3 linked regions of the Macaca fascicularis genome follow. The protein of the gene in region 2 interacts with the protein of the main gene of each other region in a pairwise test. Links are inferred from orthologs where the notes say so. Each region holds a gene or a part of one and is shown on either strand. Other genes may lie near its edges. The genes, in order: EPB41L3, MBIP and MCM7.

Region 1 (3,748 bases), on a different chromosome or scaffold from region 2:
TTTTACAGAAAACACTTTTTACAGCAAGTTCCTGCCACACTTAATCTAATATACCATGTAAGTCCAGAAAAGATTCACAAGTAACAGCAACACATCTCTCAGTGCATGGATAGTGGCATCTCTTCTACCTAGGTGGCCCCTTAATGCATCTGACCAACCAGTTCTTAAAAAACAATTATAAATAAAATTGCATCCGATCAAGTTTAAAAATATCCTGATCTTTTTATTTCAACACAAAGTTGGCCAAAGTCCAAGCACTGTATAAGAATTGATGAAAAATTGCTTTTAACCTAAATCACATTCAAGCAGAAGAAATGTCTTAAAAATTAAATGTAAATATCTCACTGAGACACTGACATTTGATCTATAGCTCCCAAATCCTTCACCTAAAAGGGGTTTACAAATTAAAGTGGCTACTCTTCTTGTTATGGATGAATTATTCACAAAACATGATCTGTTTTGAAAAACTTATTTTGGCTAAAGTGTATTAACTAAATAAACTTGATGCAGTGTTGTGCATCTAATAGTTTACTTTTCTAAACTACCAGAAAACCATAATGCAAATGAGATAGTATTAAGCATTCAGCTATCAATGCCTTGCAAATTAACAAATTGAAGTCACGCTTCTCCAATTTAGTATTTATTCCCTCTCACATTAATTTTGTTACTCCAACTAAAGTTTTTAAAGTTTGATACCAAAATTAACATGCATTTTTTAAACACTCTCTCTGAGCCAAGACAGAAATCACCTCTCAGTCCCCAGAGTTCACTGGAGCTTGATGTGCTGCTCTCTTTTCTTAATAGGGCTTTTCTGCTTAATTTGCTGTAATTGGGACTACGTCCATGGCTCACAGACATCAAGTGGAATTTTACCATTTTTGTTTCCTTGAGACTTTAAAAATCAGGGTGAATTTCAAAAATAATGTTTTTAAGCACTTCGTGTGACGCTTCCTGTACTACAGAAGTTAATGCTATCAAAAGAAACTCCAGCACACCTGGCCACCTCAGAGAGCTTAAAATTCCCATTGCAACCCCCGCCCCCCAACAAAAAGGACAGGCAGGATATCTGCAAAAGCAATTCCGCAAGACTAATGTAAAAAAGCTGAAACAACTTAAACACGCAATGGAAGCACTGCATTAGCAGGACTGCCGGGCCCTCGCAGGACCTCCCAGCCCAACCTCCACAAGTAATTAATACCACATGTTTCCTTTATCATTCTATTTGTTCTGTTCCGCAATAATCTCTACCAACTTTAACCCTGGGCTGCAACTAAAGGAAAAACCCTAGGAAACTTCAGATCCGTAATATAGAAAGAAAATTGAGAAGAATACTCTCATTGCAAGGGACCACAGTTACAATTTACTAGGTAACCACACCCACCGCATTGCAGAAGCCATGAACTTCGCGGGCGTGGGGGGGGTGGGGGAGAAGGGGAAGAAGTCGGGCGAGATTAGAGGCGAAACCCGAAAAAGCAAGCCCCTGCGGCAGCAACCAGGAAACACCCGCCAGGAACTGGCTGACACCCCAGCTCCAGCGGTCCGAAGCCCCAGCCTCCCCACCCCCACCGCTGCAGAGCCGCCTTCGCAGACACCTCCCAAGGCGAATCGCAGCCCGGAGGGCGCCAGGTGAGTCGCGCCGCCCCAAGCCCCCGGGCCACGACAGGCCGACCCAGGCGCCCCCGGCCCGCCCCCGGGTGCCAGAGGCGAGGGGCCCCTGCAGGTGCCCAGGCCCAGGGCAACCCCGCTTGGACGCTCCCTCCTCCTCCCCCACCGGCCGGGGGCCGCTGCCCCAGTTCGGGGAACGAGGCAAGTTATATAAAAGCGGCCGGCCCCGCTGCCCAGCGGGGATGCTTTGTGCGGAGCGCACCTTACCGGCCCCGCGCCGCGCCCGCCCGCGCCTGCACCCGGGACGAGCCCGCAGCCGCCGCGCACTGAGCGCACGGCCCCTCCCGCGGCCCGCCAGCCGCCAGCCGCCACCCGCCCGGGCGGCGCCGCAGTGTCGCCCCCTGTCCCTCGCACCTCCCCGGGGGAGGGGCCGGCCCGCGCTCGCCCCCAGTCCGAGGGGCAACTTAAAACATGGCGCCCCGGGCGGGGGATTTGCGAAAATTGGCGGAGAAGGGACGCGGGGACCGAGTTGCCCCATCGGCCAGGGATCCCAGGGAGGCCCCCAGGCCGGAGGCCGGGACTCAGGCTCTGCGCGCCGGCCCAGCCACTGCTGCAGCGCGGCGGGTGGAGCGGGCGGGGGGCGCGGCGCACAGGCTCGGCCCGCCGAGGGTCCCGGCGAGCGGGAGGGCGGTTGGGGACCCCAGGCGCGGGGCTCGGGATTCGGGAGACCGCGCGGCGCCGGAGCCACGCGTCAGCCCCACAGCCCGTGCGCCTCGCCCCAGGCCTCGGGCTCTTCCTCCGCACCTCGTAAAGCCGAGACCCCCTCGCAGTCCCCCACTCCGGGAGGCGGAAAAGTTACCTGGGATCAGCGGATAGCCCAGGCGCGCCGCGGCGTGGGGACCAGGCTCGGGCGCGCGTCCTCGGCGGCGGTGCGCAGGAGACTCGGGCGTGGGGAGGAAGCCGCAGCCCAGGGCTGCTCGCCGCGGCTCCCCCCGCCCCCTGTTGCAGGAGACACCGAGGCTCCGCGGAGCTGCGGCGGGGGCCCACGCCCAGAGACCGCGCAAGGAAAGCCAACCTCGTCCTGCCTGCCCTCCCAGCCGCGGGGGAGGGGGCCAGCGCAGTACTTCAGGACAGTTACATGGGCACAACCTCCTCCTTCCTGGCGCAGGGTCAGGCTCCGCGGACGACGCCTGGAGACAGCTGCCAATGCCAATAGCTTTAGCCCTTGATTTCCACTTAGATGATGGCCTGGCCTCTCCAGCCCCCTCTCCCCTCCCAGACATCCCCTGTGAGAAAGGAGGGAGGGGGTGTTCCTGACCTTCAGGTGAGTTATTTATTGGCTAGGGACTGCAGTATTTTTTTTTTTTCTTTTTGGAAAGAAAATAAAAATCAAGTTGGTGGTGTTTTGAAGTCATGTTAATAGAGAAGATCTGAATTAATGGTTGATAAGAGAAGTCGCCCATCTTTCAGCAACTCAGCTACTCCGTCCTCTCCAGTACCTATAAAGCTTTCCACTGAAATGGAGCGGAGGGGGCTCCCTGATTTGTAAGTGAAATAAGTAACTCCTGGTCGTCTCACAATATCTTAAGATCTGACCGAGTAACTAAGACATTTAAGAAATGTTTTTATGGGCACAAAAAGAATAGAGTGAATAAGACATAGTATTTAATAGCACAACAGGGTGACTATAGTCAAAATAATTTGCACATTTTAAAATAAAGTATAATTGAATTGTAACACAAAGGATAAATGAAGGATGGATTTCCTGTTTTCCATGATGTGATTATTACACATTGCATGCCAGTAGCAAAACATCAAATGTACCCCCATAAATATATATACATACTATGTACCCACAAAAATTAAAAATAAAAATATTAAATATTAATTTTTAAAATTTTATGTATAAGTCATACAACATAAGATACATATATAGTAAAATGGTTATTATAGTAGATCAAATTAGCATATCTATCATCTCACATAGTTATGCATTTCTCCCAACACCCCTCTACTTGTGGCAAGTGTAGCTATAATATACTCATTTAGCAAAATCCTGAATACAAGACACTTCTTAGCTCTAGTCCTCATGTTGTACATCAGATCCTTTTCATGTTGTACATTATTTTTTTTTAAATAGAGC
Region 2 (3,648 bases):
GGCATAGTTGCACTCTCACGGACTATCTAGCAAAAGACAGACATTAAACAGAACCATGATAACTGCTTTAAAGGGCAGCAGGGAATACCAAGTGCTATATAAGATTATACAAAAGGTGAATGTGCACTGGTCTAGGATTAGGAAGAAAAAGCATGGACAGAAGGGCATGAGTATAAAGATCCTAAAGCAGCAAAACGAGTGGGAGATGGGAAGCCCAGAGGTGTAGCTGGAACTACAGATGTGGACAATACTACTTAAAATTACAACCCCCTCCAATCCCAATCTCCAAATTTTTAGCTGGGAAGAAACAAGATCAAATTTGAGTTTTAGAAAAAGCAATCTGGCCGCAGCATAGAGAATGATCTAGAGGAAGTCTAGTGGCAAAGAATCCAGTAAATATCCTTCCATCAGTCCAAGCAAGAGATCACAGCAGCTTCAACTCTGGTAGCAGCAGTAGAGATAAGACAGAAGTGGGCAGATTTGAGAGATATTTATTCAGAAAACAGAATCAACAGACATGGTGACTAAACGGAGAGGGAGACTCAGGCTCTGCATCCAGTGAAGATTTAGGTTTGAGCAGGGTGCAGTGGCACATGATTGTAGTCCCACTGACACAGGACGCTGAGGCAGGAGCATCACTTGAGCCTAGGAGTTCAAGTCCAGCCTAGGCAAGTCTGGACTATCTCTTTTCCTTTTTTTTTTTTTTTTAAAGAGTTGTCACTTACTATCGGAGGCGTGTTGCTTGGGCTCTTTAAACTTCAATTTATTTATCTGTACAATTATAACAGCACCAACACCTCAAAAGGGTACTATGACCTTTTAAGTGAACTGACATATACATAACACTTTCTGAATGACTGGCACTTATCGTTCAAACAATGTTAGGAGCTAAAGGAAAATTTGGTGACTAAATGAACTGCAATTTTTTAACCATTTGCAAAGGTTCATTATGAGGTCCACTTAGCACTCTGCTTACCTGTCTGTAACCGCAAGTGGGCCTCAATATTTTGTAGTCGTTCTTCTACAGCCTGATTACCACAATCTCGAAGCATGCTGTTAGGTTTATGACCTGACCCTGGAATTCCTTCAGGTCTAGTCTGTGGTCCGTATGTATTCACAACTCTAGAAACTAAATTAACAAACTTTTGAGCCTATATACATTTATATTTCAAAAATCAGAAATTCTTATTCCCTAACAGCACTTTGTATTTTTTTCATAAAGACCATCTAACCACAAGTATGAAGGACGGCAAGATGTTTTTGTTTTAAAATAAAATTTAGATGGGAAAGTTATTTCTATTCCATTTTGCTAATAATCTAGACTTCTGTCAGTGACTCAGATGTCATGTGGTGGTTACTTACCTTTTACGTGACTTTTAAATCCGGGGTAAGGAGTAAAAATCGCATCAGTTCTTGCACAACTATTTTCTAAGGAGAATTTAGATAAATATAAGTTTAAATATATTCTTCCCTTCAAATGTATGAGATTTTAATAAACTTCCAATCATTCATATTAACATTTTACTCATAATAATTTTAATAAATAATAGTAACAATAAATTACCATCACACACAGGATAGAATTTAGTGACCTTCTTTACCTGTCAAAATGTATCGTAATATCTAATATTCTTACCTAATATTCAGATTTATATACAGAAAAGCCATCAACATTAAGTGGCACAAATTGATACAATTTTGAAAACCAATGTCACTATTCGGGCCTCTGGAGAAAATAATCTACTGTAGAGTATTTAAATTCTACTTCATCGTAGAACTAGAACTCATCATTTTTACTAGAATTCTTTTAATTCAGCATGTTTTATTTTAATGCCAAATTAGTGAACACCCAACAAAAAGAATTATGTATTTAACACATTTTTATTTCAGAACTCCACATAAAGATGACCTCAAAACCTCAAGTACACACACATTTCCACTCTACCTAGATTTCCAGTGCTCATTTTAGAAATCTGTCATCACAAAAGTCATCTACTTCTTCTCATCCTACCACTTTCAAAAAAGTTTAAATTTAGGAAAGGTCTGTTGTGAAAATTTGTTCCTATTTTTTTCCAAGCTGAAAAGTATAGTTTCTTTCAAATTAGATATCAATGCATAAATTACAAAGGGGGAAAATTGGAAAGATGTTAACATATAATACAACTAATATATTAACATAATTGTTATATATTAACATATGATACTACATAGTAATAATATATACTTGTGTTTGAAACAATGCTTAAAAGCCACACATTGGCAGTAAGTCTCCTGTAAAATTCCCTTGAATATTTTGTAAAAAATGGCTGGTAAATGAGATTCTTAAAAAAAAAATTCCTTCCCCCACCATGAAATTTGATTTTTAAAAATTCCACTGCTTATAGTTAGATTTGTACTATTAAAATCCCTTTTAATAAAAAGGAACACACTAACATATTAAAATGCATTTATATTTTTTCAGTTGAACTTTCCTTAGTAGTTCTGTTGATAAATCAAATAGTATGCATAAAATTCCAAATCCACTTAGCTTTTATATCCAGAGACTAAACAGTCATCTTTCCTTTTTTTTTTTTTTTTTTGGAGGCACCTCAAAATATGCTTAAAAGGCCATCCTTTCTCCATTCTCTTCCTACCATTTAATGGGGCTAAGGGTTAAAAAAAGAAGCTATCATCCATTCCAGAACTATATTCCAAACATATAGATTAACTGACCCATCAGTGAGAAATTCAGCATGGTGTGAGTATATGAGTGCTAGTCACTCTCCACAGCAATTCTTTCTAGCACTGTTTTGAGCCAGCAAGGAATTGAATGGGCCAAGGAATCCTGCTGAGCATTTCAATTCTTGTCAATTTCTATCCCCTGGTGGTTTATAATAATAGAGTTAGCAGGGAGAACAGAGGAATAACATTAGTGACACATGTGCTTGCTCTCGCAACAAACCCTTTCTCATAGTCGCTTATAGCTGGTTGTAGTACCTGAGATTTTGCCATTGTTGCACCTGTTCTGAAAAGCTAATAGGAAAATATACCAAATTTAGAGATGCACATGTGTAATGTTAATAGTAGCACACAGCTAAATTCAGGATCCAATACCAGCCTATATTATTTCATTATTAAGAGAATCAGTGTACCAATGTGATATGAGTCAGTTTTAGGTTCATCTGACAATTCTATGTTCATAATAATTAGTCATGAGATATTAGAGGCAACAAGAAACATGTTCATCCCAATTATGAATTCTTCTCCATAATTTTTCCTAAGAACTAGTTGTTCTGATTATTACTATGGTGCCTGAGTATGATCTATGGCACTGCTTTGCAATATTTTGTATTCTGCAGCATAACTGCAGATTTGTAAATGTACTATAGCATCAAGTAGAGAGGTAAAGGAGAATCTGATGAAAAACAACAAACGTATGCACTATGGCAGAAAGGAAAAAAGCAAGACACCATAGTCTTCATGATAAATTGGTTGTATTGTGACATAGGACATTTCAAACAGCTCAGGAGTAGTGAGAAAACTGCTCCCTCTGGAGGAATATTAACTTTAAGTTCACTTATGTATTAACATCATGATTTCACAGTACATGTATAGGTTTGAAACTCATAGAGCTCAGTTCCTTTTACTAGTGGGATAGATCAACCTTGT
Region 3 (3,748 bases), on a different chromosome or scaffold from region 2:
GTATTTTTAGTAGATGCGAAGTTTCAGCATGTTGGTCAGAATGGTTTCGAACTCCTGACCTCAGGTGATCCGCCCTCCTCGGCCTCCCAAAGTGCTGGGATTACAGGCGTGAGCCACCGCGCCGGGCCTCTTGTTAGTTTTACTTGGAGAAATACAACCCCCAAGTGGAAGCTACCATGGAACCAGTCCTGGGAGGGAGACGGCGCCCACCCGGCCCGCCCGGGCCCAGCTCCTCACCCGCCTCCCGCCAGTGGTTACCATGACAACCGGGGACTCGTCTCCTGGCAGTCCCGTCAGCTTCCGGTAGAAGAGCTCGGCCACATCCCGGCCGCCACTGTCCCCGCGGACTGGCGGGTGGAAGGACTCAGTGAAGGATCCTGCGACACGGGCTGGCCCTGGGCGCCCCTCCCGCCCGGTCCCTCCGCCCCTTCCCAGCCCCGAGGGTCTAGGATACAGTCTTTGTAGATGAGCGGGTCCCCCTTGGAGGACAGAATGAAGAACTGGGAAATCATGGCCGTCCTGGAGAGCAGACAAGAAGACGGCGAAAGTTGGGCCTGCCCCGCCCTGAGGCCCCGGAACAAAAGAACGCGCGTGCGCTGGCCCTTTAAGAGCGATTCTCCTCCGCCGCGCCAGCTTGGACCGCGGGAAACCCGGCGCCCGCCCCACCCCGCCCGGAGATTCCCTTCCGACTCCCGCACCGCCTCCCCGTCACTCATTCGAGGCCCGCCCGGCGATTGGCTTGCGGCTAGCGGGAGGGAGAAAGGGCCGGCTTTTCCGATTGGCCCGCACGCAGTGGCGCTGGTCACGTGGGGGGCGACGTTTCGCGCCAATTTCGGTTGGCCGGCCACAGTCCACCGCGCGGACGTTCTCAGCTTCCCCAGAAGCAAGACCTCTGAGCCCGCCAAGAGCTGCCGCACAGGCCTCGGCAGCGATGGCACTGAAGGACTACGCGCTAGAGAAAGGTACGGGTCTACAAGCCTGGGAGGGCGTCCTGCGCGGGGAGCCTCCCGGGGAACACCTGTTGATGTGAGCTGGGGTCTTCGAGGACCGGGGTCAGCGGGTTCTGGGGCGCGCGACGCCAGAGGCAGGGTCGGGTTGCGGCCTGGCTAAGGCCCACGGGACCTGGAAGGCGCGCGAGGGGCATCGACGTTGAAGAAAAGGTAGTAATCCCACTTGGGAAAGGTGTTATAGAGTTGGGGGGCTTGGGGGGCGCTACCCGGCTGAGGGCTGCACAGGGAAGAGTCGCGCCGAGGACCTCAGGAGACTCTAAGGGCTCTGGACCCCGGACCCGCTTCCCTCCGCGCTTTTGGATATTCCCAGGTTCCCGCCGCCTCCCCGAGGCGCGCGGAGGCCCCGGGGGCGGGCAAGCCGGGGCCGCTACGTGCCGGGATTGGCCGTTTGAGGCCGCCCTCCGAGCGGAAGTGGAGCCGGGCGGAAGTGGCGCGACGCGGGTGGAGGGAGTGTCGTGTAAACAGTGTCCTTCCGCGTGGCGGCCTCGGAGAGAGCTGCGACCCGGGGGGGCGTGCCTGGGATCCGGGAGCTTCGCTCGGGCCCGGGAAAGGCGGCAGTGGGCTGGGATCGCAGTGGCCCTGGGCGTGCTGGCCAATGGCTGAACTGGCTCCCGCCTCGGGCGGAGGAATCCCGGGCTGTGAAGCGGCTGGAATCCGGGCCCATGTGCTTCTTTGTTTACTAAGAGCGGAAGCGCTGGCGGGAGCGGTGGTGGGGTGCGGGACCTGCCTGGTGGCGGAGGTCTCGGTGAGATAAGGGGCTCGGGGGACCCAAAGAAGGCAGGGGATCATGGGGGTGGAAAGAAAGCTGAGAACCTTGAGGCCGGAGTGTGGGAGGCCAATGGGGAACGGCGCTAGGATTTTAAACTAAAGTAGGGACAGGAATTCCCCTGGGGAATAGATGTTGGATCGCCCTGTGCACTGCCCCGGGCTCTTTATTCTTCGCTGGTTAAAACAGACTGTGCAAAAGAGTTATGCCCACTTTGGGGAGAATTCGGTAGTTTATTTAAATGTTCATATTATTAGTTCATAGGCTGTGTTTTAAGCGAAAATAGGTATCTTAGATTTCTATCAGAGGGATGGGCAGTGATGTGTCTTAAAGTTTATGTTTTATGATTTTACATTTCACGTTACAGAAAAGGTTAAGAAGTTCTTACAAGAGTTCTACCAGGATGATGAACTTGGGAAGAAGCAGTTCAAGTATGGGAACCAGTTGGTAAGTATAAGATTGGGTAAAGGGAATGGGGAAGTGGGGTGCATAAGGAGCCATAAGAAGTAGCTTGGCTGGTTTTATTAAAGAGGTAATAATTAGAGGGTTTGGGGGCTGAGAAGCAAGTATCTCTCTAAGTGGTGCTGTGTTCCCCCCTGTGGATGCCCAGAGCCTGTGCTGAGTTCTCAGTAATGTATCTTCACATATGAACACTGGTGCACAAGGTGAATGTGGCTTTGAGGTGTTTCTGTCTCTTTCTCACCTGAGGTTCGGCTGGCTCATCGGGAACAAGTGGCTCTGTATGTGGACCTGGACGACGTAGCCGAGGATGACCCCGAGTTGGTGGACTCAATTTGTGAGAATGCCAGGCGCTACGCAAAGCTCTTTGCCGATTCCGTACAAGAGCTGCTGCCTCAGTACAAGGAGAGGGAAGTGAGTGGCTAGAGAACAATGGCAAACAAAGGGAAAGGCATTTAAGCTTCTGTAGAGAGGCTGGTCAGATACTGATGTTTTCTGAGCAGGCAGAAAGAAGGGGCATTTCAGTCTGGTGTTCTCTGCACTCTCCTTTCCCCATCCTGTTGCTCGTTTATTTATTTATTTGTTTATTTTGTCCTCCTTTAGGTGGTAAATAAAGATGTCCTGGACGTTTACATTGAGCATCGGCTGATGATGGAGCAGCGGAGTCGGGACCCTGGAACAGCCCGAAGCCCCCAGAACCAGTACCCTGCTGAACTCATGCGCAGATTGTGAGTGGTCTCTGTTTGGAAGTATGTAGGGATTGGTTCTCCAGGATCTTGTTTGTGACTGTTTTCTCCCCTTAGTGAGCTGTATTTTCAAGGCCCAAGTAGCAACAAGCCTCGTGTGATCCGGGAAGTGCGGGCTGACTCTGTGGGGAAATTGGTGACTGTGCGTGGAATTGTCACTCGTGTCTCTGAAGTCAAACCCAAGATGGTGGTGGCCACTTACACTTGTGACCAGTGTGGGGCAGAGACCTACCAGCCGGTACGTGTGGAGCAAGGAGCAGGAAAGCCCTTACCCATTAGTCGTTTTGTAGAGATTAATTTGATCCCGTGATGCCTATCATTTTCTTTGCTTGTAAAAGTTGCCTGTGTGTTTGCCTTTCATTGTTGGGTATGTAATGGTCTTTCTACCTATTTCTTGGGTGTTTGTTGTTGACCCAGAGTTAAGTTCAAAGGGTTCTTGACACTTCCAAGATGTCTGCCATGAAGAGAAAATGTGATTCAAGGAACCGACCGACCCAATGGGGCTCTTTTGCTTCTGACTTCCTTTTGCTGCTTCTGTTCTCACATCCTAGATCCAGTCTCCAACTTTCATGCCTCTGATCATGTGCCCAAGCCAGGAGTGCCAAACCAACCGCTCAGGAGGGCGGCTGTATCTGCAGACACGGGGCTCCAAATTCATCAAATTCCAGGAGATGAAGATGCAAGAACATGTGAGTTTGGGGTACGTGGCCCTGGGCAGGTGGATTGGGAGTCCACTTGAATCCTGTAGTCACTTGTGGAGTGGCAGG

The links.
Region 1: the proteins of MBIP (region 2) and EPB41L3 interact in a two-hybrid assay, tested with the Homo sapiens proteins (2 studies listed by BioGRID). The two-hybrid records come from large-scale screens. The link is inferred for Macaca fascicularis from reciprocal best matches to the Homo sapiens genes MBIP and EPB41L3.
Region 3: the proteins of MBIP (region 2) and MCM7 interact in binary tests that used the Homo sapiens proteins (3 or more experiments, as listed by UniProt). The two-hybrid records come from large-scale screens. The link is inferred for Macaca fascicularis from reciprocal best matches to the Homo sapiens genes MBIP and MCM7.

Annotation. Positions count from the first base shown.
Region 1 is NC_088392.1:74,037,699-74,041,446, forward strand, and holds the start of EPB41L3 (band 4.1-like protein 3), read right to left. Parts: upstream 2,550-3,748; 5' UTR 2,465-2,549; intron 1,976-2,464; exon of another isoform or gene 1,873-1,975; intron 1-1,872. UniProt on the Homo sapiens protein: Tumor suppressor that inhibits cell proliferation and promotes apoptosis. Modulates the activity of protein arginine N-methyltransferases, including PRMT3 and PRMT5.
Region 2 is NC_088381.1:104,146,647-104,150,294, forward strand, and holds part of MBIP (MAP3K12-binding inhibitory protein 1), read right to left. Parts: intron 1,429-3,648; coding exon 1,363-1,428; intron 1,130-1,362; coding exon 977-1,129; intron 1-976. UniProt on the Homo sapiens protein: Inhibits the MAP3K12 activity to induce the activation of the JNK/SAPK pathway. Component of the ATAC complex, a complex with histone acetyltransferase activity on histones H3 and H4.
Region 3 is NC_088377.1:48,752,469-48,756,216, reverse strand, and holds the start of MCM7 (DNA replication licensing factor MCM7), read left to right. Parts: upstream 1-834; 5' UTR 835-931; coding exon 932-962; intron 963-1,462; exon of another isoform or gene 1,463-1,755; intron 1,756-2,143; coding exon 2,144-2,223; intron 2,224-2,484; coding exon 2,485-2,649; intron 2,650-2,704; coding exon of another isoform or gene 2,705-2,712; intron 2,713-2,838; coding exon 2,839-2,963; intron 2,964-3,038; coding exon 3,039-3,219; intron 3,220-3,532; coding exon 3,533-3,670; intron 3,671-3,748. Other genes in the region: AP4M1 (AP-4 complex subunit mu-1), read right to left, coding at 238-347, 455-512. UniProt on the Homo sapiens protein: Acts as a component of the MCM2-7 complex (MCM complex) which is the replicative helicase essential for 'once per cell cycle' DNA replication initiation and elongation in eukaryotic cells.